Linked DNA regions of Callithrix jacchus. The protein of the gene in region 5 interacts with the protein of the main gene of each other region in a biochemical or structural test. Links are inferred from orthologs where the notes say so. Each region holds a gene or a part of one and is shown on either strand. Other genes may lie near its edges.

Region 1 (4,065 bases), on a different chromosome or scaffold from region 5:
CAGCCCTCTGGCCGCAGCCTGTTACCACTTCTCCTGTGAGTCTCAGGCCCTAGTCTTGGTCAACATATGCTCTAAGCCCCTCCTGGCCCAAGGGTCAGGGTGCTACGGCTTCTGTGGGTGGGAGGCCCATCTCCCAGGAGGTGCTCTGGAAAAGCAGAGACCAAACTTGCATAGAAAGGGGAGAAAGGGTTTGCCGGCCACAGGGATGAGAGCACAGGCTTCAAGGTGCTGTGGATTCGTGTTGGTGAGACGAGTGTACAGCACGGGACACAGAACTAGGCGTCGAGATGAGGCTGCAAGTATATGGCTGGGGCCACATCCTGTCCTGGAAGGGGAGTAGGGGCATCTCCCTAAGCCCTGGGCCCTGCTCTCGTGCAGTGCAGAGTGTTCTAGGACACTCCCACCATGCTCTGGGGCTGTGGTCCCCAACTGTGCCAGATTCCTTTCAAAGCCCTTGGCAAGCACCCTCCAGTTGGCAGATGCTAGGAGCCAAACCAGATCACTCCAAAAGTTGAGAGTTTTAACAGGAAGGGGAAAAGAAAAAAAGATGATGAACTAGACTAGACCTAAAGAGCTTTCCCAAAGAGGGGGTTCTTTGTAGCCTGAGGGGGTGAGGAGTAGCCTGACCTTGATCCTCAACCCACTGGAGTTCTCAGGAATTGAGTAGGGCAGGGCATGGTCAGCTCTGCTGCTAGAATGACTACTCGTGGTCAGTAGAGGAACGGACATCTCACAAAAGCAGGATGCCGAAAATGGAGATCTACAGCCTTGGGGAGCACTCATGCAGAGGAGGAGTCCAAAGGAGCATCCAGACACCTCGCCTGGCTGAACACATCACCCAGATGGAGACCCAGAAGGAGGAGGAGCAGGTCGAGTTGGAGTACCAGGAGCTGTGGGGCAGGTGTCCAGAAGGCAGATGGATCTATGGAGCCAGAGTTCAGGGGAAGAGTCCTAAGTGGCTTTAATATTCTCAGAATTCTACATGGGAGACAGTGGAGACTGGGGAGTCAGCCTGTCCAACCCCACCCCCAATCCAAGACTCAAGGGAGAGGCCAGGCCACACACACCACGTCAGGCATGTTCCTGGTGTTACTAGAATTGGGGGGCATGGGCCTATAGTTTTGGGGAAGGCTGTGAGACCAATCACGGCATGAGGGAGGGGGACAGGCAGCATAATCCCTGAGGCCCACTGGGCCTGTGTCCTCATGCCCAGAACAGCTTCTCCAGGCCTGCTCCACGTGGTCAGAAGGATACAGGCCTTTGGGTTGGGGGACAGGGCTGTCACTGATTTGCTGCGGGAGGTCACATAGAAGGTGGCTTGCTTGGCTCCTCACCTGCCCCTGCCCCACTTCTAGCTAAAGAGCAAACCTGGTACCTTCTCTCTGGGGCAGCTAGGAACCTAGAAAAGCCAGGCTGGGTGGGCGAGGTGGCTCAAGCCCGTAATCCTAGCACTTTGGGAGGCCGAGGTGGGCAGATCACTTGAGGTCAGGAGTTTGAGACCATCCTGGCCAACATAGGGTCATCTCTACTAAAAATACAAAAATTTGCCAGGCATGGTGGTGCGTGCCTGTAATCCCAACTACTAGGGAGGCTGAGGCTGCAGTGAACCAAGATCATGCCACTGTGCTCCAGCCTGGCTGACAGAATGAGACTCCGTGTTAAAAAAAAAAAAAAAAAAAGCTCCAGGCTGGTGTGGGGCTGCAGGGAAGGGGAAGCTTAGGACAGCTGTCAGCTGGTCTGGCAATGCTTCCTCCGGGCCTGGGCCTGAGTGCCACCTTTATCAGTGACTTCTCTGCCTCCACCCACCTGACTGCTGGACACACCCATCTGAGAGTACACAGCAGGCCCCCACGGCTCCAGGGCAGGGACTTTCACTTGACCCATTGCCCACCGGGCCACCGGGCGGACATTTCTTCCCTTTCAACGCTCTCGGGAGGTGGACAGGAGACCTGAGTCTTTCTTGACGTCGTCTTTTCTGGCCGAGCACCATCAGACAGACTTTTTTCTGGGTCTCCCCACCTCTGCCAAAGGGTTGGCCTCCAGGCCCCGTCCCACCTTGACACAGGCGTCTGAGTCTAATATCCCAGCCTCCCTCCCTCTGCCTAATCTAATAGTACCCAGCACTTAAAACAAGCCAGAGGGTGGACAGGGGCCTAGGCTAGTCCCCAGAGGGTCTCCTCAGGTCTCAAGTGCCAGAAAGAAGGCCTGGACTTTTTTTGCCTTAAGGGTTGGAGATCCAAGAAGAGGAAATGCTCATCCCAGCTGTGTGAGCGCCCACCCTGGGCCGGGCAGCAAGGCTGGACAGAAAGGGGGAAGGGGCTGCCACAGCAGGCTCGGGACAGCCCCACCCCCAGATCTCCCTCCGGGCGGCGGCGCAGGCTGCAATGGAAGAAGCATTTCCTCATTCCAGAGGCTGCGACTCATGGACGTCGGGATCCGCGCCCGCCCCCCCTCAGCTGCCCGGCTGGGGACACGAAGGCCCGGGAAGGGGGCGCTTTCCCAGGCTCCGTGGCCCTCCCCGCCCCGCGCGCGCGGTCTGGGCTCTGTCCAGGGTCTAGGGAGGCTCTCGGGTCCCGGCCGTCCCTGTTCCGTGGCTGGGGCAGCTGTGTCCGGCTCCGGCAAGGCGAGGACTCGAGCCCTGGCCGCCGGTTCGCAGGAACCCCGGGTTCGATGCTTTGTCAACCTGCTTGGGGTGTCAGTTTCCCGCTCTGGGAGGTGGGGTCGGGCCAAGACGAGGAGGAGCCCGCGCAAGCGCACTCACCACCACGGCGGTGACCGGCTGGCCCGGAATGTAGGACATCTCGACCCCACTCTGGTCGCCCAGCCCCACTCGCAGAAGCCGGCAGAAGAGTTCCTGCGGCCGCGCCCTCGCTGCTTAACAAAGGCCGCCCTGCTCGGCCCGCCCCCTCATGAATAGTTAGCACACCCGCCAGCCAATCACCGGCCGAAGCGCCACTCCACTTTCCGAAGTTCCGGCGCGTGCGCAAAAAAAAAAGGGCTGGGGGGGAGGGGGTGGAGCGTGCCCGGGGCGCCCACGGCGCAGGCGTGGAGGGCGGGGTGGGATCTGGGCGCGTGCGCAGTCCGGGACCTCCCGGCAGCCTTCAGCGCAAGATGGCGTCGCGGGAGTCTTTTCTCCTACCCGCCTGAAGAAACGCTAAGTACGGTGTCCGGCGCCGTATTCCAGGTAACTGGGTCAGCGTGGCCGGAGAACGCAGACGCGCCACCGCCTCCCGGCCGGCCCGGACCCTCAACCTTCTCGGCGTCTCTTGAAGGTCCGAGGCCCAGGACTGGTGCCAGCTCTTGGAAGCTCCGGGGGAGGGGGCGGCGGCGGCGTGAACCCAACTCGCCGAGCTCTGGGCGCCACTTGTAACTTGGTTTTCTCTACAGCTCCGCGTTGTCCCGCCAGAAAGCGAGAAACTGAGCCCCGGGGGGTGCGATGGCCGCGGTGGTGGCCAAGCGGGAAGGGCCGCCGTTCATCAGCGAGGCGGCCGTGCGGGGCAACGCCGCCGTCCTGGATTACTGCCGGACCTCGGTGTCAGCGCTGTCGGGGGCCACGGCCGGCATCCTCGGCCTCACCGGCCTCTACGGCTTCATCTTTTACCTGCTCGCCTCCGTCCTGCTCTCCCTGCTCCTCATTCTCAAGGCGGGAAGGAGGTGGAACAAATATTTCAAATCACGAAGACCTCTCTTTACAGGAGGCCTCATCGGAGGCCTGTTCACCTACGTCCTGTTCTGGACGTTCCTCTATGGCATGGTGCACGTCTACTGAAATGGGGGCCCGGGGGACTTTTTTAAACCACCAGATTGGGAGGACTCTGGCGAGAAGTTAACACCGTGTAGACTTACCTAGTTTTTAAATGGTTCGATCCGCTGCTTGTTCTGTAACGTTATAAATAATTTATATCTGAAGACGAAGAGCCTGTAATATTCTTCAGATTAAATGAAGCGTGAGACACTTTGTAGAGTTCTTTCTTACCTTAACGCATAGTCTGCCATTGGTGCAAAAGCGCCAAGATTTGACTCCTGGAGAGCGCGGACTGGCTATAGCCTTGTGTTAAGTCCTTG
Region 2 (3,730 bases), on a different chromosome or scaffold from region 5:
TTGAAGTAGGTTTTAGGTATTTTTCATATAGAGTTAAATAAAAACACTTCATTCTAAGAAGTATAAAACTAAATGACCTTTAAAAATAATGTGAATTGTTAGTCTAATGAAATGGAATTTTGTGACCTTGTGGTAACTGGGCTTATGTTACTATATCCATTATAAATGTCTAGTAGCTGAATTTCCAGTAAGAAACTTTTTTCTCTCCCCAATAGTGTTAAGAAAGGATTTTTTTTAGTAGCAAATTATCTATCCAAAGCTATTTTCTTTACAATGAAAGATGAAAAATGGGTATAATGATATTCAACTCTAAACAATTTCAAACTCTATGTGTAAATACAAGTATAGCTATAAACGTCTTCCTGATTTTTAGGACTCTGAATGTTTGTAACTTGGAGAGAGAAAATCTATTTGAGGGCTCAGTCTGTGATGGATCTAGCTCCACTATCAGAAAGCAACATTAAACCAATCTGATGGTAAAAAAGAAATGCAGGCCATGAACTGCTTTTTTTTTTTAATATCTATATAAAAAATAACGAGCAATTTACAGATCTTTCTCTAATCAGAACCTCAAGTGTATATATAAAGGTACTGTACAATATATAAACATTTACAACCAGTACATCCATATTTTGCTCAGCATTCCAAGGCCACATTGCTAAGTCAGTATATAGTCAGTACAGAGGTTACTTAGAAAGGAAGAGCCACATAGGACAACATAGGACATCAAAGTTATGTCACCGTTAACAAAAATAGGATTTGTTATCACTATCTGTGGACTATAGGGAAAATAAATAATTTCTGTGGTACTAAATTCTTAGTATTTATCAAGCCTCCTAATAATTTTGCTTTATTTGAATAGTTACAATAGGTGTGTAAATACAGTTCTGGATGAAAAGGGATTTCAAAAATCTCACTCTGGGAAGCATGTCTTATCTACAGGGGCTAATACAGTTGTTGGGTTAAAGAGTTTCACAGTCAGACTCCCAGAGGGAAGGACCTGGACATAATGTGCTTCACAACAAGATGAACCCAGGGTGACAGAACAAGTGTGTTCACACACTCCATAAGAGAGTTTTTTATTTTCAGAAGGTGCCTTTATTTATAGATGCTACTGAATGCTGCTTCAGGGAACTGAAAAACCTGATCTATTTTACGGAAGTTAACAGTCTCCAACTTCTAAGAAACACGTTTAACTAGACTTTTTAAAAGAATTCTGAAAATGTGTACAAGCTAAGCAGATGTTTAGTCTCCCTTTCTTGTTTTTAAGTAAGAAAGTTAATGTAGCTAAAAGTTAAATAAGATCCAGTAAGTACTGTCTACACTTTTGTCCTTACTTGCTGGGTAATACCTTACATAGGTTGCTCTAAACACCCAAGCTTGTACACCTGCTACCAGAAGAGTTGGTACCTGGACTGTGAAACTGGTTTCGTGGTTAAGTCCCTCACATGATGTATATGTTTCCTTTTCAAATATGCATTATGTATTAAAGACTAATGACTTTAGTAGTAGGTAAAGCCAAAATATCCAGAAATAGTTGGTGGTTTTTCTTCAAAGAGCAATAAACACTATTTTCCACATGCTTCTTTATGGTTTCATAATGAAATAACAAATAAAAAGGGTGACCTGAGATGCCGTAACTGTACATCAATGTTGGATAACACAGCAGGAGATGGACTCTATTGCTTTAAGTACTTTCTCATTTCAAACATTCAGTTGTAAGTACTATCTTTAACACTTACTTGAAACAACTTATCCAGCCAAATTAAAATAAAGCCATAAGAAAGCATCAGTATTGGACTACATTTTTTTTCCTGTGAAGTTAGTGATGTTTGGGGGGTTTATTTTTAAACTGGGACATCATCAGTAGCTGTTGGAAGAGACAAGTGCCATCTTTAATGGTGAGTTGACAGTCTCTTCCTCTGCAAGGACTCAAATATTTCTCTCTGTAAACATGCAACATGCTATTGAGGACATCAACTTCCAAGCCAAACCTAACTTGTTCTTTACTGTGGAAATAGCTGAACGAGGATAAAAACAGACATGATACAGTAGATAACTTGGCACAAATACAAAGTGAGTTGTGACCACACTGTTAATATCAACATTTGTTCAGACACTCATTAAGACGAGCTGGGCAGCCTGAGCAGGGCGGATCAGATGAGCATGTGGATGCAGCTCCTTCCTGAGTGCAAGGCAGGACAGCCAGCCAGGGGGACAGTTGGTTCTTAGCAATCCTAAGGCCCTTCATGCAGCCTAGGTAACTTGATGCTCACATTAACATGTACTTATCTGTTTCAGAATATCTGAAAAGAAAAAGGCTTTTTTTTTTTTTTTTTTCTGGAAAAATGCTGCTGTAAGAAAAGATTACAACTTGTGTTTCTTTGTTTTATACTAAAGGTTACTGCCGTTTCTCAGCCACACCAGTAGTGCCTGCGACTTTATTTCCACTCGGCACCTTCCAGGGCCCCGGAGTTATCGGTGTTTTCTTAACTGGAGAACTACTTTCAGGTTTGAATCTTCCAGTCTCTTTGCTTCTGTCAGCTGCCTCTAGTTCTCTCCCTTTGTGATCTTCTATTCTGTTTGAAACTATCTTCTCTGCAGGTTCTTGCTTCAGCCTCTTTTCTGCTATCTGGACATTTTCTCCTATTTTATCATTACTAGAACTTGTTTCTCCTGTGGTTACTTTCTTTCCTTTTTCATTTTCAGATACTACTTTACTTGTAGTGTTACTAGTCTTTCTGGATTGAAGAGACTTCTCAACCATTCTTTTGCTTTTTTTCTCTGGAGACCTTGTTCTACTTTTTTCCAGCTGATTCTGCTTTGCATCTTTCCTGATGACGCCTGACTTTTCCTTCCCATCTGGGATCTCCTCAGCATTATCGCCTGCACGGCCTGCTATTCTTCGACTCTTACCCTCTAATAATTTGGCCTTAGCATTTGCTGGATCTTTGCTTCCTTCAATTTTTTGCTGCTTCTTCGGGCTGGCAGACCGACCTCTGCTTTTTCTGCACTGATCTTGTCCAGACCTTGCCCTGGTGCTGACCTGACAACTTTTATTTTCCCCCTTGCTGGGGCTGAGGGATCGATCTCTGGGTCTTCTTTTGAGGTCATTTTTTAGAGGACTAGGAATCTTATCCAAATGTTCCTCTGAATGCTGATTGGCTGGCTTTTTGGGACTAACTGATCTACCTCTTCTGGTAACACCATTTTCTACTTCTAATAGATTTTTCTTGTTACTGTGCCCATGACTGCTGGGTGGATCCCTCTTACTCACATTTTTCTGGAGAAGAGACTGATGCTTTACCTCGGGCTGATTTTCATGTAAAGTGCTTTTCTTTTCAGGCACAATGTCCTTTAATTCTTCTGCCTTTTCACATATCTGAACTCTCATTAAAGATTCTTCAGTTACTGGCATGTGAGACTCTTCAAATATGGAAGCAGAGTGTGAAGATGGGGGTAATGGTGACTGTTCATCATAAATCACATTTGAAGATAAAGGATTATTAATTTCCCAATCACCTAAAAAAGTGATTTGAATGGAACATTAAATTTTAGAATTAGAAATAGGCACAATACATTTTGAACTCTGACAGCCATCTGAATTGTACTGACTGCTTAAAAAGCTTATGAGTATTTTATACAGCCTGTATATGTTTATAACATATTTCTATAAAGGCAGATGTATTTAGACATCTGTTCATACATGAAGGATAGGTTATTTATATAG
Region 3 (4,076 bases), on a different chromosome or scaffold from region 5:
CATACTGTTTTTAGTTAAATAATTACTAATTTTTGTTATTAAAGGGTATATTTGTAACAAGGGTACAACCTGAAGGACCAGCATCAAAATTACTGCAGCCAGGTGATAAAATTATTCAGGTAATTAAAATAAATATATTTTTTAAATTTTATAACACTGTTGTTTTCAGAGTTTAAAATGTATTCACTTTAAAAATTGTGGTTAAAAGTGTGATACATCATAGGATTTTGTTTAAGTTCAGGAATGCTAAGTTTTACTAATTCGAGGGGGATTAGAGTACCACTTCTTGGATGTGGGCTGTTGTCCTTTCAGAAATGGAGAAGAAAAATTTTAAATCTGAGAAACTCTTCTTATTTTTCTCTGTCCCCTCCTTTTCTTTGTTCTTTCAGCTACTCATTTTACCTAAACACTTGTAGTCTTAGGAGGAAGACTACATGGTTATAAAAACTATCAATTGTTCATATTTTAAAATCCCAACTCCTTTGAAGCCTTTAAACAGATTAAGTAAACGAAGAGTTGTTAGCACAAAACCACCAGTGGATCTTTTAGATATCTTATGAAACAAGCCAGTAAAGCCTAGGACACAAGTGTAGCTCTCATTTTCTGCTCTTACTGTCACTGTTCTTAGTTGAGAGCTAAAAAATAACCCCAAACAAAACAAAACAAAAAAACCAGACAGACATTCAAGTCTAGTAGCTGCAGATTCTGAAAGCCAGACTGAGTTTGAATTCTCGTTCCAACACTTTTTTTTTAATAAAATTAATTTTAAAATTTTTTCTTAAATAATTTAAATCTTAGAGAAAAGCCACAATAATTTGCTACATTGTCTTTAGCATTTATTCTCTTTCTTCTCTTCTCCCTCCCTGTCTCTACACACACGCACACACACACACACTCATACAGTTATGCACATTTATTTTTGTGAACCATTTGGGAATCTGTGGTTTCAGTTTTGTAACTGAACAAGTTACTTTCTCTCTCCATGCCTGGGCTTTCTCTTCTCTAAAATAAGATAGCTAAAAAGAATCTTTTTTGAGCGTTATGAGAATCAAAGGATCTAATTCATGTTACACACTTAGAATTGTGTTTGATACACAGTAGAGCCTCAGTAAATATTAACCTGAATTGTGAGAAATATGGTGGACTTGATGTGATGGCTCAAGACAATGGGAAGACTAGGCCTTGCCCTCTGCTACACCACAGTTTGGTCACCTCAGATGCACATTAACGTTATGTAACACCATGTCTGACATTATTTCTTACATAAGTGATTCCTAACTTTGGGCTGCTACATAAGAATTCTCTGAAAAATTGGACAAAATACACATTTCTAGTCTTCAGAGACTATTCCTTGGTTTGGGTAGGGCCTGTGAATCTGTATGTTATTTTAAGTTGTCAAAGTGATTCTTATTTTATTCCAGGTTTGTGAATTACTTGGCAGAAATGCAAATAAATTACTAGAAAATGTTTTTCCTAAAAGCATTTTTCCTCTTTCTTCTAGGCTAATGGCTACAGTTTTATAAATATTGAACATGGACAAGCAGTGTCCTTGCTAAAAACTTTCCAGAATACAGTTGAACTCATCATTGTACGAGAAGTTTCCTCATAAGCACTGTGGACAAAAAAAAGGGGGGGGAAGACAGCAAGATTTATTGGAAGATACTTGCAGGGGAAATTAATATTTTGACTATTTTTATATATAAAGAACTCAAAAAATTATGTTCAAATTTGTACATTAATGAAGTAATGGAACTTGTGGTTAGAGGGAAAGAACCACTGTACAGAATATAAAGAAGACTGTTGAATTCATACCATATAAAACTTGTTAGGTTTTTAAACATAGCAATCAAGGTTACAAAAACAAACCTGTGTTGTTTTTGTATAGATTGTAGGTTTATTTTTGGATTTCATACATGACTGAACTGTGTACAAGGCAATAGTTAGCCTTGATTTTAGCCCAGAGACAGATGGCAGAGCTATCTATCTCATAGCTTTTATGCCCTTATTTTTATTCAACTGGTATTAATGTTTTTCTCCTGAAACTACTTTTTTTGATGTGGGCAAGATATTTGAAGTGTTGGCTTTTGCTATGTGCATATTGAATTGAAGAGTGAGTAGGTGAAGTTGGTGCTGGTGGGTTCACTTTCCAAGGCCAGATTAAAACAGTTATTTTCTATAAAAATCTGGAAGCAAAGAATGGGGACGGGGGGAGCTATGTGGTAGTATGTTTTTATTAAGAGAACAATGCAATAAAATATGTAATGTCTTTTTTAAAAAGCAAAAAAGACAATAATTGCATTTAATGAGCTCTACAGGATCTGTTGTTGTCATAGCCATTGACTGTACATTTGTTACTGGTGATACAGTTTTTAATTTTTTAGTCACAGGAAAATTTTAACTCTACTGTAGATGCATGTCCATGCATTTTCTGTGTTATGGAAATCCCGATTTTTTTTTTTTTTGCAAATGGTGGTACTCACAATCTGTTTTATAATTAGTGCTCCATTTAAATCTAATTTATAATTTTTATTTTAAGCAGCAAATGAAACAAAAATGGCCAGTTTTAAGACTGTGTTGCCTGTAACACAAAATGTAAGAAAGTTTAGTAGGAAAGCCTCTTTTTTATGTTTGGCCTTGCATCGCCTTGGTAAAGTAAAAAAGGAAACAGTACGCATGGAGCTAGGAAACCAAAGTGAAGTTTGTGAAACTGGCACAGTGATAGAGAATTGCTGTGGAGAGTTGTAGAGCAAAGGGATGGGTCCTTTGAGGCCTACCAGTGTGTAAAGGTGTTCAAATAAAGGGCTGTTTCTACAGGTAACATTAAATGTGAACTCAATACTTCAGAGTCTTTAAAGGGTTTCTACTTGTATCAGTGTAATAGTGTTTTACCACCAACTGCCTTTGTTCCTAGTTACTGTAACAAATATTTGATGATAATACAGGTTTATTAATTTTGTTATCCAGGCCATTAATTTTATTTGTTTTTGTTTTGTGTAATCAAATAAAATGAGTAACATGCAGTGGTAAGGATTAATGCATGGTTATTTGGACCAGAAAAAAGTGCCATAGAAGACCAATAACTGTAGTTGAGGCTAGTCTGGAACCTTTCATCAGAGCAATATTTGGTTATTGCACTTCATTTTATTTACTAAAATGCAATTTGGGAATTTTTAATCTGTTATGCTTTATCAACCTTGATTTTAATTAAGACTTTTATAAGACTAGCTTAAAATACCAACCCATATTATTTTTGCAAAAGCGAGTTGGACTCATGTTCCATTCTTGCTAGTCAGAGTGAATAGGCAGCACTTTTAAAAATATGTGAACTCAAATATTGCACTTCTTTCAAGATGTTATCAATTGGTTATTGTACTGTATAGTTTTAATAATTTTGATTGAAACCCTTTAACAACTCTTTGTAAATTTTAACTCTTTTAGTTATTTTCAGTACTATTTACATAGGAATTGATTTTTATGGATATAGTAGAAGAAATGTGCTGTATTTTGATAAAATTCACTTATTGTATGTGTGTTGTAATCTCTAAAAAAAAAAGAATGACACCTTCTTTAAGACAAGTCTCGGTGTTCCCTTTATTCTTTGTTTTTAAATATTAATTTTTGCATTCTAAAATATTTAACATTCCTTTTACTGATTTCAGATTTTCACAGTCATATTCTACTTTTAATCAGAAATACATTTAATAAGTATAATTGTGAAGTTTTCAACTACTTTACCTTGAACACATACATAGATTATAATTTTGGAAAAGGAATTAAGCCTGTCAGAACAATGAATCTTCAGTTCCATTAACCTTAACTTCATTGTCTGCACATTACATTGAAGTATTCTAAGTGCAACAGGTGTTATATCACTGGTATTTTGTCCTACTATAGTTAATTAAAATTTTATAATATTCTTGCAACACAAAGTTGAATTAAGAAACTTTACCAAGAGAAGTAGTATAGCCAAGTTTTCTTCGAAAATATTGGAAAATTAAAATTAAATGATAGGACTTTTAATTAGAAGTTTGTTTTAATAAGTTTCAAAATTTGAATAAAAGAATAAGTTTTTTGAG
Region 4 (3,500 bases), on a different chromosome or scaffold from region 5:
ATGATGTTTACCTTATAGCTCTGATGTATTCACTACTTTCAGCACTCAATACTCTAAAATGTCTCCTTGCCCTAGTGGATATTCGATTCCTATGGCTCCTATTTGCCATGATTCACATATAAGTAGATTCCCATACTTACCTGTGTATCCTATAAAGTAAAACACATCATCCTTACTTAGCTATGCTCATTCTTTGCTCAAAGACTATCGGGGCAAAATGTAAATAAACTCTTTAACTGAAGTGCATCCCAATAGGGTCTTAAGTAATTCTCTGCAATGGATTTGATGCATGAAATTTACCCAGGTAAAATTTTATCCTCATTTTATCACCCTAATCATTATTTAAGTCTATTTTGTCTTTATGGATTACAGTGTGAAATATATGAAAAGCCTAAATAATTTTATAATGTTGAAATGGTAGATGGCAATATTGAGAACAAAAGAAGATACCTGAACAGAGATGAAGCCAAAGTTTCCTATAACCCTTGTTTCATCTACTTCTATCAATGGTTTCATTTCTTTCCATCACGTAATCACTACAATGTTATTGTGATCATCAATCTAACTTAAGCAGGGTTTTTTTGTCTGTTCCATTTACACAATGCTGCCAATGCTCACTAAATTGATCACATTACATCTCAATTTATTAAAGATGGAAATAATAGTTTTCATATATGCTGTCCTACATGGAATAAGGTAGTTATAAAAACTCTAAATTATATTGAAAATCAGATGCTTAGCTTTTGAAACCACAAACTTTCAGTAGTTACTTTGTGTCATAAAGAAATCAAGCAAAACAATGTTTCACAATTTGCATTTTACATAGAATCGATTAAATTAGAGGGAGGGTTTCTATGGAATGGAGAAAGAATGTTAGACCATGGTTCACTGGTCTATACGATAACCACATCTCGGTGCGGCAGTGAAGGGACAACGCCACACAAAGGCAGGGCCCGGAGAAAGCTGAATATCAGAAGAAAATGCAGAGAACATATGTAGACATTAAACAATCAAATTTTGACAAATATGTTTCAACTTGAAAGGGTGTTAGCAAAGATTCAAAAGTGACAGCCTATCCTGGAGGTGGCTTATCATGCCTTTTAAGCCATGATTTCTAAGAAAGATGAAGCATGCCAGTATTAAAATGTTGATCTATATTTGAAATGCGGTTTATGTCTCTAAAATCTGAAACACAATAGTTTTATAAATCCCCTAATTGTTAAAAATAAGTATCAAATGCTAAACATGTAGTTTGGTAAGGTAAAGAAAATCAAACATGAAATTATATGACTCATTGCCTCAGGTCTGTGAACCCAGTAAATCATTGCTATAACAGAATTTTGCTTCCATTGAAATGCATATGTTCAATGAAATCCGTCTTAAAATGCGAGACTTTGTAAATGAAAAGGGCTACCTAAGCCACTTTGGGAGCAACACTGGTGCACATGTCTTCATTTGAAGCACCAGTTTCTGTTTACCGAGTTGCTTCTCATACCTGGACTACTTGTCAGAAACAGGAACTTCTCTTCCTTTAGCAAGCTGTAATTCTTCAGCAGATTTTCTGCTCTAGCCAGTTTGTCCTCTGCTAGTCTCTCACGAACACAAAGCTCCTGTTCCTTCTCTTTAAAAAAAAGAATGGACAAAGAAAGAAAAAAATTAACAAGTGACCTTGACTATAAAACAATTTACATTTGGCTATCTTATCACTAAGACTCGTGTGCCTGATACTGATAAGCAATGTTTCGGGAAAGGATTCTAACTAAGCCTCAGTCAACCTGATTGTGCTAGTTTTTAACTGAGCATTTTAGTAGGCTGTATGTTATTTTAGATTTTCTTCAAAGGACTTTTTAAACAAATACAAAGTTAGCTTCAACCTTTGGTCATCTTTTGTGGGAGTAACTCATTTGGGAAAACAAAAAACTAAAGCCATCTCTGCTCTTCACTGAAGATAGGCAATATGTTAGGGCATGATCTGGCCTCACAGTACAACATTTCCTTCCTCTGGTTAAATGACCACATCCAAATAAAAGGAAAAAAAAATTCAGTTAGGCGGTAGTTTGTAAGATTAGTATTAATAACAAAGGCTACTATTTATTCGTGACCCCAAATTCAGAAAGCATTCAGATTTCAGTCTCTCACGAACACAAAATTTTGCTGTACAAAATTATGGCTGGGCATGGTGGCTCATGCCTGTAATCCCAGTACTTTGGGAGGCTGAGGCAGGTGGATCACCTGAGGCCAGGAGTTCAAGACCAGCCTGGTCAACATGGCAAAACCTTGTCTCTACTAAAAATATAAAAATTAGCTGGGCGTGGTGGTGGCCGTTGTAAGCCCAAGCTACTCAGGAGGCTGGGGCAGGAGAACTGCTTGAACCCGGGTGGTGGAGGCTGCAGTGAGCCAAGATGGTGCCATTGCACTCCAGCCTGAGCAACAAGAGTGAAAGTCTGTCTCAAAAAAAAAAGAAAGAAAGAAAGAAAGAAATTATGAAACACTGGGGAAAGTTATAAGAAAAAGTTTTCTTACTTTTTACAGAGGTTTCCAAGTAAGCAAAGGTTGTACCTATACAGTAAGCATATCTCATAGGACTATACAATAGTTCATTACGTAAAGTCTGCATTGGGCATAAAGCTGCAGAAGTGAAATCAGGTGAGTCATGTGGGCGACAGGTAACAGATCCCCATCTCTCGTCTCCTAATGTTAAAATGAAGAGCCTCACTGCTGTAGCTACCTTACACAACCCTAAATACCTGCTATTCCACCAGCTCTCATCTTGGTGGAATAGACACACTTTCAACATCAAAACTAAATTAGCACCTAATCAGTTAATACCCATTAAGTCAACATTAATACCCACCAGAGTATTATTTATAGACTTGAAATATCTTGTACCTAGATTCTCTATTGAATTGCCTGAACAGACCAGGTGTTGTGGCTCACACATGTAATCCCAGCACTTTGGGAGATGAGGTGAGAGGATCGCTTGAGCTTAGTTAGGAGTTCAAGACCAGCCTGGGCAATATAGTGAGACCCTATTTCATTTTCAAATATAGTTTAAAAAAATTAAATTGCCTGAACATATCTCATCTATATACTGTAGGATTTTAGACCTGAAATTCTGCTGGAGTGGCCATTTCAGAAGACAAAAGTCATGGTTTTTAGTATAGAAGGCAGCAAATTCTAAGACCTTCTTTTATAGGGGGAAAACCTTAGGGTGTTTATGGTAGAGACAAAAAATTAAAAAGTAACTTTGCGGTAAAGTATAAGGCTAGCATGTTAGGGCCATCACAGTTAAGGCCCAATAATATATATGTAGCAACTGATCCCAGAGAAAGACGTCCAACATGCAAGTGCCAGCAAGCTTGACTATTAAAAGTCTACAATGCACATTTTGGTTTCTCAAGTATTCATTACATTTCTAATACGATCTGTATGTATAAAATATTCTGCTCAAAGAGATATTCAGACACATCAAAATAACCCACTTGATAGTTCCGCTTTGC
Region 5 (3,965 bases):
TTGTCAGACCTACCACTGGGATGATAGGACCATCTGGCAGATAGCGTGAAAGGCTCATTCTAGTTCTGTTTATGTTCAGATAAATGTCAACACTTAAACCTATTTATTAGTTCAAAGTGGAGCTAAAGGAATTCCCCTCTCCCAGTGAGTCACACTCGTGTGAAGGTGCTTGAAGTCCAAACCCAGGTAGTTAGTTTCGTTCCATTTAGGTAATAATGAAATATTATCTGAAGGGGACTGGGATAGACACTGTCTGGCTTTCTCTCACAAAAGCCCAGAATTAATCAGTGTACAAGGTGGAAACACTTTTTTGGGGGGTGCAATGTAATGCAGGGCCAAATGCTAAAGAAACTTGGCAAATCTCACCTAGAGAGGGCCTGCCTTCTCTATCACTACAACAAATTACTTCACTATGTATCTTCCTCAGCATGGAGCTGAGTTGGATCAAGTAACCACTGTCACAAACCATTTAATGACAAGAAAAAAAAAAAGTGACACAATTGAATGAATTAAAAGTTTAATTCTGAACCATTTTTTATAACCGCATTTTCTCTTGAAGCATCATATCACAGCAGGTTACAACAACTTTGGGATAAAAGGCAACTGGTAAACTGTCCAAAACAAGGTTCCAAATAACACCTCTTACTGATTTACCCTACCCATACATATCCCAAATAAAGTTTTTGATCAAAAACATGAAATAGATCCACCTGCTTATTTTAAGCATATTAAAAAGGAAACTAATTGGACCATTTTCTATTTGTCTATTTTATACAAAAAGGCTACACAATGTTACACTTTATTCAGATTACAATTAGAGTGATTATGAATTAGTGTTCTACACCATTACTCAATTCTTAAAAATTAGAAATTGCTGTAGCAGTATTCACTATAACTTAACACTACAAGAGACTTAAAAAACTAAGTTACTGCCAAAAAAAAATTAAAAGCTACTTCAAAGCAAGCAAAGTCAGTACCATTACAGATATAGTTTAAAAAAAAAAATTTAACAAGCAAGGCTAGGGTTTGATAAATTCCATCTTGTGATCCATTCTTGTGCATTCTTCACTTCTTGAGTCACTCCCAAAATCCATTTGTATTGTTACTCCTCGACCAAAAAGGACCAGAACAAAAAGTTTACTTCAATTGTTCCCATAGGAAACTCAGCTTGGTTAGTGTGTCAGGCACTTTCTGAGATACCAGCCCCACCCCTCGAGCCCTCTCAGCAACTCTACAGGCCAATCACAATGCAAGTTCAGACAATACAGCTGTATAAAGAGAGAAAGGCTGCTATTAATGTTTAAAACAGCAAATGTTACTCATTTGAGTATTAAGTTGCAAAAGCTGTGGCAAAAAACATTAAAGTTAATAACTTCCACACATGATCACATAACAACCAGAAATCTGAGAACATTCCAATGTTCCAAGACATCTCCTTTCAAAGTATATACCTGTTTTTGTGGCAGATTTACAAATAGCCTAAACCACTCCCACCCTACCAACCAAGTCTTTCTGAAGTTCTGTAGGTAGAGTAAAAGTATTTCACCCAAACTGGCTTTTTAAAACTTCTTACCTAAAGGATGATTTACAGGTCAGTATCAAACCAGGCCAGCTGATTGCTGTCACCTGGAGGCAGCCCATCCATGAGGTCCTGAGCATGCCCCAGATCTGGCAGCCCATCAACGGGATAGTCAGCACCAGGGTGGTGGCCACCCATCTCATGCTCCATCATGGGGTCCATACCCAAGGCATCCTGGCCATATCCACCAGAGTGAAAAGAACGATAGCTAGGGTCTAGAAGAAGCAGAGTGGCAACAAAACAGGCCAGAGAGAGGAGACAAACAGACACAGACGTTAACACTGCGGTTAGGGCATCCGAAGTTTAGCAGCAAACTTGTTGGAAAACAATGCTTTCTAGTCTCTTTCAACTTATAGCTTTCTTTAGCCAAGTAATGACTCAGTGCTGGGCCACCCATGAGACTATGCGAGCAGCACACCAGCAGGGCCGAGTCACACCGTCAGCCTAACCCTGAACACTCTGCATTTACCCATCAGACTTGGGGTTCCCAAAGATGAACAGCAATGATCTAATTGTGTGTGACCACCTAGGCAGTGAGAAGTCATGGGAAGAGGATCAAGACAATAAATACTGAGGTCTGGCAGGTGTAATCTATCAGTGACTCCCACAAAAGTCCTAAAAAAGCTCAAGGCACCATTTCAATTAAACCTCAACAAATTTTACCTCAGGCTTGACATGTATTTGTCACAGCAAGAATCCTGCACTTTAGTGGTTTCATAATTAGGTAGAAGCAGATGAGGTTATAAATCCAAGGTAGTTATAGTTGTTAGTGGTCTACCCCATCCTCCATGTTCATTATCCAGATTTGAATGAACTTTTCAAGAAAACCCTGATAATGCAACTATGTAACCCCCAACCCCAATCGGAGCCTTTCTGCCTTGGGTAGGCTGTAGACAAAGGTACTGTGAGTCCTCTGGCCAAAGAGAATGAAGAACCAGGTAAACTGCAGCACCCTGCATGGCAGAGGCCTGGCAGCAGCGTTTCTCTGGTGGTGGTGTAGCCCTACTGATGCTCAGTGTGTGCCTCTGCATTCCCTGTGCTCCATTAGAGATACTGTTGCTGACTGTGGAATTTAGGAACTGCTTTTAATGGAAGCCACTACTTTTCTGCCAACACTGGTTTCCCAGATGAGCAAAGTGGCTCTTCTGATAAGGTTTTAGAACTTTAGCTTGATCTGGAGTTAAGAAATATGAGGCACATACCATCCTGGCGATATCCAAGGGGTTCTCCCTGGGCACCAATATCAAGTCCAAGATCAGCAGTCTAGATAAACAGGCACAAGGCAAGGAAGAATAGAAAGTAAAAGTACACTCTCATTTTTTTTGAAGCATACTTTCAGATTGTAAAAGGAACAAGTAACTCCAACATTACAGACATGCTTAGAAAATGAAGTTCTTCAAAACTCCACCCCTCAAAGATACATTTTTTCTCTTTGCACCTCATATTAAAAATACTGACTTGATATTTCAACAAGTATATATTATATATAATATAGGAACATGTTAATAAGATGTATTAAAAACCCAAGTGACACTAGTCACTGGTAATTTGCTCTGCATTTTTTTTTTTTTTGAGTTGGAGTCTGGCTCTGTCACTGAGGGCAGCCTCTTAACCCCTGGGTTCAAGAGATCCTTCTGCTCCAGCCTCCACTGTGGCTAGGACTATAGGTATCCATCTCCATACACAACTAATTTTTAAGTTTTTTGTAGAGATGGGGTTTTACTCTGTTGCCCAGGCTGGTCTTAAAACTCCTGGCCTTAAGAGCTGCATCGTTTTAAACCTAACAATCTCTCTCCACTCAACAAATATAATCCACTGTATGACTAGGACTTGTACCATCACTGATCACTGTAGAGTGGATAAAACAAACTTCCAGGTGGTTCTGGTTTTATTAGAAACAATGTTTCAGTCAGCACCCCTATGGAGGACAAATACTGAAGACAGATCCATAGCAGAAATTCAAGTAAAAAGTTTCATTAAAGTTTAGTAAAAGATACTGATAAACGGATTTTTTTTTTTGAGACGGAGTTTCGCTCTTGTTACCCAGGCTGGAGTGCAATGGCGCGATCTCGGCTCACCGCAACCTCCACCTCCTGGGTTCAGGCAATTCTCCTGCCTCAGCCTCCTGAGTAGCTGGGATTACAGGCACGTGCCACCATGCCCAGCTAATTTTTTGTATTTTTAGTAGAGACAGGATAAACTGACTTCTAACAGTGTTTAACCCTGTCCCTTTCCTTACACCCTTCTGAACAATCTTTAATCTGGTAACATTTTTCATCTTTCTTGGGAACTGTCATTTTAAGAGCACAGTTTGTCTGTAAGGATTCTGAATAGGCTCTTTAAAAGCTTCTATTACATTTCTTCCTCAGAGCAGTCGCTAGACAGC
Region 6 (4,110 bases), on a different chromosome or scaffold from region 5:
TTTCCTTTTTTTTTTGAAACATAAGGGTCTTGGTTCTGCTGCCCAGGCTGGAGTGCAGTGGCATAATCATGGCACTCAAATTCCTGGGCTCAAGTGATCCTCCTGCCTCAGCCTTCCAAGTAGCTGGGACCACAGGTGTGCACCACTATGCCCAGCTAGTTTTATACTTTTTGTAGAGATGAGGTCTCACTATGTTGCCCAGGCTGGGCCAAAACTCCTTTTTTTGGGGGGCAGGGAGAGAGAGACTCACTGTTTCATTATATTGCTCAGGCTGGTGATGAACTCCTGGGTTCAAGCGATCCTCCTAGGCATGAGCTAAAATTCTAATTAAAAAAATTTTTTTCTAATTTATCTTGTAGTTTTAGTCCTGAAGATCTCTCAATCCACCCCAGTTTCTTTTCCTAGGCAGTTGTTATATATTCACTTAAAGATTCAACACACACCTATTATAAACCTTTCAACTCACCCAAATATAACTGCATTCCACTGCATGATGTTGTTTTCAGATGGTGCACCACTGACACCCACAGGTGGGTCCTCTTGTAACCTAGAAATCCGGAGTGGTAATTTAAAAAGTTGAACATTAAGGCCACTAAGGAGGCCACATAAACACCTACAGACACTATACCATCTATTGTGACACAGGGACTAACTCCATTTCCTTGTTACTGTGAACTAAAATGAACCCTATGACTTAAATATATTAACCAGGTATATACACTTATTAAATACCTCTCCAAATTATCTAAAAATGTAAAAGGCTTGAGAATCATCCCTTTTTCAATATTATCAAGATTATTATCTCTTCAAGAATTGATGCATACAGACTGTCCTCTTAAACCAAAAAAAAGTTTAAAAACTCAAAAGCAAATAATATTTTTACAGAACCATCGATTTTGCTGCTCTAACCATCCAAAGACTGTGTGTCTTAACCACAGGTACTTCTGCAAAATGGCTAAAAAAAGAAAAGCAAACCTCAGTGTAAACACTAATGACTGAAAACACGTTAATTACAAAACTAGTATTAGGCAGATTTACTTTATCCCTTTTGCTTCAAACGGCAATGGCTTTAAAAAGTAATCAGTAGGTTTTCTGCCAGTCCCTATTTTAAGGCTCTGCACTAACACCAAATCTACCTCTCAGATCAGGAGACTCAATACAAGGCTTTCCAACATTCCTCAAATTCTTATAACCTGCAGACCTTTGGAAAACTTCAAAAGGTGTCATATACTCAACTCAGAATTAAGCAGAGCATTACAGTAAGGAGCCAGGGAGACAATGACGTGAACTAAATTGCTATTTGAATTTTAGTCACAAGTGCCAAGCAAATACACTAATTTCAAGCTTTAGAAAGATAACTTTTGCACAAAAAAGGGCATCTCCTTTCAGAGACTGTAGTGTCAATTAAAAATGCTACATTATACACACAAATACATATGCAGTCGTTTTCATGGGGCATCACACTTTGCAACTAGTCCACATTAAAAAAAAAAAAGGTTTTTAGTCAATTTCAAGCAAATTAGGCCGCCACGAACAGAAGCCTCACAAGAACTGCACTGCTTGACGCCTACCTTTAAATGGCTAAGAGAAGCTACCAATGAATTAAATAAGTTGGCCAAAGCCCAAAACAATGGATGGCTTCCAAATGCTTCACATAGGCTTTATAATGGCTGAGTTGAGAGGCGACTTCCTGAGCGACAAATCTAAGTTTTTAGGCCAGATATTTTGTCTCAATTAGGGCAGGTATCCCCAAAAAAAATTTTAAGAAAAACGTGCAGAGTTATCAAAATGCTGTTTTCTCACATGTTTTTCTATGTCTCTAAGTATCCAATTAAAGGCAAACGACGGACTAATCATTCTCTTTCTCACAACCCCAATACCTCCTAACAGTTAAAACCCTATTTATTTACCAAAGGAGGCCCAGGGAGTATCAAATTAGCGCCCGTCTAAGGGAAGGCATTTTTCCAGACTCGGGAGGCTATAGATAGGGCTTTCTTCACCAGCCAGAGCTGAGTTCCAGAAGGCACTGGCAGCCGGGGTGGCCAGCTCTGAGGTCCCAGATCTCTAAGTCGGTTCCCAAGGTCCTTTCAGGCGGGCGGGGACAGAGTCGGGTTTCGGGGGATGGGTTAAGCTCCGGGCCTCACGCACTGGACCCCACCCTCACGGTAGAAATGGAAAGGACCGGGGCGTGGTGCGGGGGGTTTCGCCCCAACCCGGCTCCTCGGAGAAGACGGCGGGGCAGTGAAACAAAGCTGACCGGTGCAGCCGGCGAGGAACAAACTCCCGCAGGAGCTTACTTTAAGAGGACAAGAAGGGGGCGCCGCAGGGTGCAGGGGCGGGTGGAGGAAATCTGATCGCCGGGCAGCTGGCCGAAAAGGGCAGCAGGGAACCCTAGGCCAGTCGATCGACACCGTTTTACTTTTTGGGGGTAGGAGGAGTATCGAAATTTATTCGGCCGCCAAAACGAGAGGCAAGGATAAGGTAGTGGAAGCCGAGGCTAGGACCCGGCTTCTGCCAGTTCTGCTGGGCCCACAGCCGGCCCTCGGAGGGTCACAAGGGGAAGGTGTCCGGGATCCCCACCCTGCAGCCCCGCAGCTTTGAGGGGCCGTCATCTAGGCGGACGTGAAGGCCCTTACCGCTTGAAATCCCGCATGAGCCTTCTCCGGGCCGGGGTCGACATGCTCCCCAGCTGCCCCGCGGTCAGTCTGAAAGAAAAGAGTCCCGCGCAGCCCCCCCACCCCCCGGCGCGGCGGCCAAATCACTGTGGGTAGCTGCCGCTGCTGCCGTCGCCGAGACTGACAAACAACCCTGCAATGACGTCTCCCTCCGCCGCCTCCGGATCCCTCCGCCCTCCGGATCCCTCCGCCCTCCGCCGCTACCACGGAAGAGCGTTGGGGGAGGAGGGGGCGGGACGCTGGAGCGCGCGTTCTCCGAGCCCTTCTGCGGGGCTGGGTTCAGCCTGGGCTTCCTGAAATGATCGGCAAGTTTGTGTACTCTGTGCTTACACTAGAGGTTGTGGATTCAGAGACCACGGAACCGAAACACTATCTGTCCCCCTCCCCGTCATTAGTTTAGACTCGGCGGGGTGGAGAGAGGGGGGACTCATCCGGGCCAGAGATTTCAGGGAAAGGAGGTGGGATGACGTAAGATCACGTGACTGACCGTGGCCTTGTCAACAATCCACCCCTGAGGGGGAGGGGGAGAAGTATCTAGAACCACGTGTCCCTATGACGCCTTTAGAATGGGTCACGTGAAAGCCTCGCCTCTATGTGAGTTTCAGCCAGCTCTATGAAGCTGGTTCAAGGGAGATTACACCTTTATTAGTTGTTTCCTGTTTATTACAGGTTAGAGACATCATTACCCAAGAGATCATGGCAGAATCAACAGCTTGTTTTGTTTTGTTTTGTTTTGTTTTTTTTTTTGAGGGTTTTAAAATTATTTATTTATTTTACATTTTGTAGAGGCAGGGTCTCTCAAAGTGCTGGGATTACAGGCATGAGTCACGTTTTGTTTTCTTTAAACCGGGACCAAAAATAATTCCCCTCTGGTTGGTTCAGTGGCTTATCAACTCTGCTATTGGGGCAAGAAGGGTATTGCACGATCTTCTAAGGCAGCATTGAATGTTGAGGCCCACACAACAATATCCTGCAATGCTTCCTTGAAGCTACCAAATAGTCTTTCAGCTTTGCAGTGGGGTTTCTAGTATTGAAAATTTTGGGCAAACATTAAAGGATGGTGTATTATGCAGTTTTTCCTTTCTGGGTCTGCTTTCATTTGAAGATATGTGTCAGAGTCCGGGACTTGCCTATAGGGGGTTGTACCATTGTATATTTTTAAGGAATGTGGGGTTGCAGACTTCCAGGCTTATCAATGAGTGGTTGGTTGTCAAAGAAACCTACAAATATGATTTATACCTGGGGGAGAGCTCCTGTAGATATGAGTGAGGGTTATAAATCTAGCCTGAAGGCCCGGTGCGATGGCTCACGCCTATAGTCCCAGCACTTTGGGAGGCTGAGGCGAGTGGATCACGAGGTCAAGAGATCGAGACCATCCTGGTCAACAAGGTGAAACACCGTCTCTACTAAAAATACAAAAATTAGCTGGGCATGG
Region 7 (4,073 bases), on a different chromosome or scaffold from region 5:
GATACTAAAAACTAGTTTCAGAAATAAATAGCTGCTCAAAATCCATTCAAACATAAATAGCTAATCTTTATGGAGCACTCACTATGTACAGGCACTGCTGGGTGAACTTTCCACGTGTTAGCTTATGTAATACCCACAAGAAAGTCAGTGTGAGGAAGACGCATTGTTAGGCTAGGCAACGTTTTGAACCTCATGCAAAGCCTGGAGAGATATGCCTGGAATGAGGCACAATCTCTCCCTTTAATGTGCTCACTACCTTGTATGGAAATGAGGACCTAACTCATAGTTCAGAGTAAGTAAAAAACCACAAGGTAGACATTAAAGGGACCCAAAGGAGGAGGAATTTGTTCATCCTAGCAGGATACTGGAGGGCTTCTTGGAGGAGGTATCCAGGTGGAGAATGAAGTCATAAATGCAAGGAGCTTTCCATAGCTTAGTGTCAGCTCCTCAGCTCCCAAAGCTGCTAAAAGGCCAGTCTAGTCCCCCTGCCCCCTATTCAATTTCATCTGGAACATGTCTGTTTCCAAGAGAGGACCAGCTTGCCTTTGCCCAGCCCTTCCTTTGACACATGCCTCCAGCTACTGCCTGTCCTTATGGAAACAAATGGGAACTTTTCATCCCATTCAATTTCACCACTTCCTTTGGTGCTTTCCCTGGGGAGAATCTGCGTCATGGCACTTGGTTGCACAAGGGACCCCTTTAAGACTTCAGTTGTTCTCCACTGGGTTGATATGAGGACAGCCCCTTATCTGTACCAAGGTGAGATGTAAGGGACCTACCATCACCAGCAACCACCAAATGCATCTTTTAAAAGGCCACCCCTCCTCTACAGATTTCTGAGAGAGGAATTTGCCTCCATTCCCTCCTTCAGAATCAGCCTCTCCAGTCCTGTAGGGTCATTCCCCGACTCCTTCCTTCTCCATACTTAAGGCTCTGCAACAAGGGTTCAACCCCTTGCTTTTGGCAACTGTGTGACCTTACTCAAGTCCCTTAACCAATGTCAATCCCAGTTTCCTTATCTCTAAATGGGGTATATAAGAACCACTGGGTCTTAGAACTGTTGTGAATCGGAGTGAGATAGTGCAAGTAAAGTATTTTACACGGAGCCGGGCATGTAGTAAATCAACAATGAATAGTAGCTTCATTATCATCATCGATAATAACGATGGTGGTGGCGGTGGCAGGGTAAACTTGGACCCGATTCGAGCTCAAAGCAAACACCCCCTCCCCCGTCCCATGCCTAAGGCTAGGCCACACGGTGGAGACACTTGCGTCATCCCGCTGAGGGGTGAATGCAGGCTCTTCTGGCGGCGGGCTCAGGAATCACCAGGCAGTTGTGTCCTAGCTCACCTGGAGGGGTCGCGGGGTGAAGCAGATTTTCTGATGGGGGAGGTCCAATAAACTGCAGACCCTCTCTTTCTGTATACCCACTCACCAGGTACGGAAACTGACTCGTGGCCAAAGAACGCCAACTGCATCCCTCCCCAGAGGAGCCAGGACAGCGTCCACTGTGCCTCTGACTCAGTTCCCCGACTCACCCTCGGATGCAGGCGAGACTGCGCTGCACTTGGTGGCGGAGATAACAGGTTGGCCAGCCAGGCCTGCAAAACGTCCGCCCCCTCCCACCCCAACCCCCCTCCCCCGCCCCCACCTAGCGCAAACCCAGCCCCCTCTTCCAAACGCAGGTGGGCAAACAACCCACAACCTCGCTACAACTTTGTGTATTTCACCGCCATCACAGGGCGCACGGCCTCAACTTCTCTTCGCTGCGCTCTGAGGAGGAAAGCGGGAAATCGAGGATGAGGGGCAGCCCACAGACAGCCGTCCTTTCCTACGGGCGCCCCCCAAAGGCGCGCCCCGCCTTACCTTGTCTGACGGCTTTGAAGGTGACGGCCTCCTTGCAGCTGTCGATGACCCCCAGCACGTCATAGCGGGGCAAGCCGGACACCCGGACCCCCTGCACCTCCAGAAGCAGCTCCCCTTCGCCCAGCCTCGGGCCCTCGCCGCCGCCGGGAAGCCCCGCCGCCTCGGCAGCCGCCACCGCTCCGACGTACGGAAACTCCCCATGCTCCGCGCCTCCCAGCACCGTCACCCCCAGTTCGCCCTGGGGTCCCCGCTTCACGGTGCATTCGTGAACCCTGCTAGTCCAGTGGTTCTTCTTCTGAATCACTTTGGACATGATGAGTTACACCCCTCCTCCAAAAAAATAAAATTAAACGAGAGACAGGTGCCCCCCACAGCACAAGCCCCCAAGCCTCCACTGGTTCATGGGAGAAACATCTCTCCCCAAATCACAAAACAGGAGAGAGAAACTTGGCAGCCTCGCTCCCCTGCACACGCTCGCGCACTCAAGCCATCATAAAACAAACTTTCTGGGCTTCCCCGCGAGCCCCGCACCGGCGCCCGCGAGCTTTGTTTGCATTCCGGTGCCTCTGGGTCCACGTTCCAGCGCCCGCCCGTGCTCTCCCGGACCAGAGTCCACTCTGCGCCGCTCGGGTTATTTTTTTTCCTTCCTTCCTTTCTCTCTTGCCTTTTACAAATGCGGTGCCTCCTCTCTGACTCCCGCCGGGCTCTTCTGTCCTCGTAGGCGTGCTGTTCCTGAGGGTGAAGGAAGCCCTTCCAGCCAGTTGCCGGGAGCCGTGGAGACGCGGTGGCGGGGCCGGGGGGAGCGGGGCGGGAGGTAAGTGCCCGCGGCCCCTTTAAGCAGATACAAAGGCTCGGCTTGTTTTGTTACAGTTCATTCTATTCCGCGCCGCGGAGCGCAGCGGCCGGCGACAGGAGACGCGCGCGCATGCGCCCCGCGGCCGCTAGCGGCCGGCCCACCCCTCCCCTCCTCCTCTGAGGGAGAGATTCCAACGTGCTTCCCGATGGGTCCTAAAACCTTCCGGCCAGGAGAAGCCAACTCCCCCTCACTTTTCCTGAACCCCTCTCCTCCCTTCTCCTTTTCTCTCAGTGCCGTGTACTCCGCGGATTCCTTTGCGCCAGGGGGGCCGCACACGTGTTTTACTCCAACTGTTAGCAACTTTTGAAACCGAGCAATCTGGCTTTGGCATTTGAAAACCATTTCAAACAGGTGGGGGTTGGGGAGGCTGCCACACTCACCCAGGCGCTCACACTCACGCACACGCGCACGCACTCGCGCCGGCCCTAAGCCTCCTAACCGCCCTTGGCCAGTGGCTGGCCAGGCTGTCGGTCACCCAGCCCGGCTGGTCCGCCGTCCCCAGCCGCAGGTCCCACTGAAACCCCTGAGACCCGCCCCAGGGCGCGAGCCGAATCCCCGCCTGCCCTGCGCTCGCGGGTTCGGGTCCTGGCACGGAGTCTGCCAAGGTCTCTGCAACTCTGGGAAGGGGGACAGTGGGATTCCCCGGTCCCCGAACTGAGATCCCTGTGCTGGTCACACGCACAATCGCACACACCCGCATCCTTAAACTTTGGGACCAACTTTTTAGGACACGAGAAACTACAGGAGAGAGAGAGAGACCCCATGGGGCTATTGTGGGTTAAGGTCTTCAACCAATAAAGAGATCCCTCTAGCTTTTCAACTGTCTTTCCAGCAGAGACTGCTGGAGCCAGGCATCGCCCCGGCCTCAAGTTTCTGGCAGTGCATCCGCGGCCAGGAGATAAGGATCCCCGCCGGGCATGCATGTGCCCCAGCGTCCTGGCCCGCGGGGGCGTGGGCGCGGCGGCCACCTCTCGGAATTCGCAGCCCGGGGGTAGAGTACGGGTAAAGTGACTTCTGTCCCCGGCAGGTGGCGGACAGAAAGGATCCCGCCCCCCAGGAAGGCTGACCTTCCCAAATACTCAAATGGCCTGCGCAGTAGTCTCCCCAGCAGTTTCTTTTCCTCTTTAGTGATGTATAACTTTTGTTCATCTTTGGTCACAGGAGAGATTCCAAGAAATGAGGGTGGTATGTTGAAGCGATGGAGAAAGGGTGGAATGCCACGGCGGTCGAGGCTGAGAGGTAGGCTCAGGGATCTACCCTTGTGTGACCTTGAGCAAGCTCGGTGACCTCCGCGTCTCCATTTCTCACTGATCAAATGAGTAGAACAAGAACTCACGGGGTGATTGGAAGT

The links.
Region 1: the proteins of CTNNB1 (region 5) and TAX1BP3 are reported together in a solved structure, tested with the Homo sapiens proteins (2 studies listed by BioGRID and IntAct, with this or other methods). The link is inferred for Callithrix jacchus from reciprocal best matches to the Homo sapiens genes CTNNB1 and TAX1BP3.
Region 2: the proteins of CTNNB1 (region 5) and MAGI3 form a complex in vitro, tested with the Homo sapiens proteins (2 studies listed by BioGRID and IntAct, with this or other methods). The link is inferred for Callithrix jacchus from reciprocal best matches to the Homo sapiens genes CTNNB1 and MAGI3.
Region 3: the proteins of CTNNB1 (region 5) and ERBIN interact in a test that uses a peptide from one of them, tested with the Homo sapiens proteins (2 studies listed by BioGRID and IntAct). The link is inferred for Callithrix jacchus from reciprocal best matches to the Homo sapiens genes CTNNB1 and ERBIN.
Region 4: the proteins of CTNNB1 (region 5) and NEK2 form a complex in vitro, tested with the Homo sapiens proteins (2 studies listed by BioGRID, with this or other methods). The link is inferred for Callithrix jacchus from reciprocal best matches to the Homo sapiens genes CTNNB1 and NEK2.
Region 6: of the proteins of CTNNB1 (region 5) and UBE2B, one has a biochemical effect on the other in vitro, tested with the Homo sapiens proteins (2 studies listed by BioGRID, with this or other methods). The link is inferred for Callithrix jacchus from reciprocal best matches to the Homo sapiens genes CTNNB1 and UBE2B.
Region 7: the proteins of CTNNB1 (region 5) and MAGI1 form a complex in vitro, tested with the Homo sapiens proteins (2 studies listed by BioGRID and IntAct, with this or other methods). The link is inferred for Callithrix jacchus from reciprocal best matches to the Homo sapiens genes CTNNB1 and MAGI1.

The regions. Positions count from the first base shown.
Region 1 is NC_133506.1:67,211,012-67,215,076, forward strand, and holds the start of TAX1BP3 (tax1-binding protein 3), read right to left. Parts: upstream 2,801-4,065; coding exon 2,762-2,800; coding exon of another isoform or gene 2,227-2,761; intron 1,076-2,226; coding exon of another isoform or gene 975-1,075; intron 870-974; coding exon of another isoform or gene 744-869; exon of another isoform or gene 601-743; intron 1-600. Other genes in the region: uncharacterized protein LOC118153673, read left to right, coding at 744-869, 975-1,075, 2,227-2,917; EMC6 (ER membrane protein complex subunit 6), read left to right, coding at 3,437-3,769. UniProt on the Homo sapiens protein: May regulate a number of protein-protein interactions by competing for PDZ domain binding sites. Binds CTNNB1 and may thereby act as an inhibitor of the Wnt signaling pathway. Competes with LIN7A for KCNJ4 binding, and thereby promotes KCNJ4 internalization.
Region 2 is NC_133508.1:151,644,627-151,648,356, reverse strand, and holds the end of MAGI3 (membrane-associated guanylate kinase, WW and PDZ domain-containing protein 3), read right to left. Parts: exon of another isoform or gene 3,523-3,730; coding exon 2,402-3,522; 3' UTR 501-2,401; downstream 1-500.
Region 3 is NC_133503.1:143,430,334-143,434,409, reverse strand, and holds the end of ERBIN (erbin), read left to right. Parts: intron 1-44; coding exon 45-119; intron 120-1,501; coding exon 1,502-1,609; 3' UTR 1,610-3,576; downstream 3,577-4,076. UniProt on the Homo sapiens protein: Acts as an adapter for the receptor ERBB2, in epithelia. By binding the unphosphorylated 'Tyr-1248' of receptor ERBB2, it may contribute to stabilize this unphosphorylated state.
Region 4 is NC_133520.1:16,817,681-16,821,180, forward strand, and holds part of NEK2 (serine/threonine-protein kinase Nek2), read right to left. Parts: intron 1,622-3,500; coding exon 1,496-1,621; intron 1-1,495. UniProt on the Homo sapiens protein: Protein kinase which is involved in the control of centrosome separation and bipolar spindle formation in mitotic cells and chromatin condensation in meiotic cells.
Region 5 is NC_133518.1:79,033,669-79,037,633, reverse strand, and holds the end of CTNNB1 (catenin beta-1), read right to left. Parts: intron 2,843-3,965; coding exon 2,782-2,842; intron 1,795-2,781; coding exon 1,586-1,794; 3' UTR 1,574-1,585; exon of another isoform or gene 1,269-1,573; 3' UTR 501-1,268; downstream 1-500. UniProt on the Homo sapiens protein: Key downstream component of the canonical Wnt signaling pathway.
Region 6 is NC_133503.1:32,758,552-32,762,661, reverse strand, and holds the start of UBE2B (ubiquitin-conjugating enzyme E2 B), read right to left. Parts: upstream 2,801-4,110; 5' UTR 2,681-2,800; coding exon 2,637-2,680; intron 548-2,636; coding exon 467-547; intron 1-466. UniProt on the Homo sapiens protein: E2 ubiquitin-conjugating enzyme that accepts ubiquitin from the ubiquitin-activating enzyme E1 and transfers it to a E3 ubiquitin-protein ligase. In vitro catalyzes 'Lys-11'-, as well as 'Lys-48'- and 'Lys-63'-linked polyubiquitination.
Region 7 is NC_133516.1:47,811,806-47,815,878, forward strand, and holds the start of MAGI1 (membrane-associated guanylate kinase, WW and PDZ domain-containing protein 1), read right to left. Parts: upstream 2,801-4,073; 5' UTR 2,180-2,800; coding exon 1,867-2,179; intron 1-1,866. UniProt on the Homo sapiens protein: Plays a role in coupling actin fibers to cell junctions in endothelial cells, via its interaction with AMOTL2 and CDH5. May regulate acid-induced ASIC3 currents by modulating its expression at the cell surface.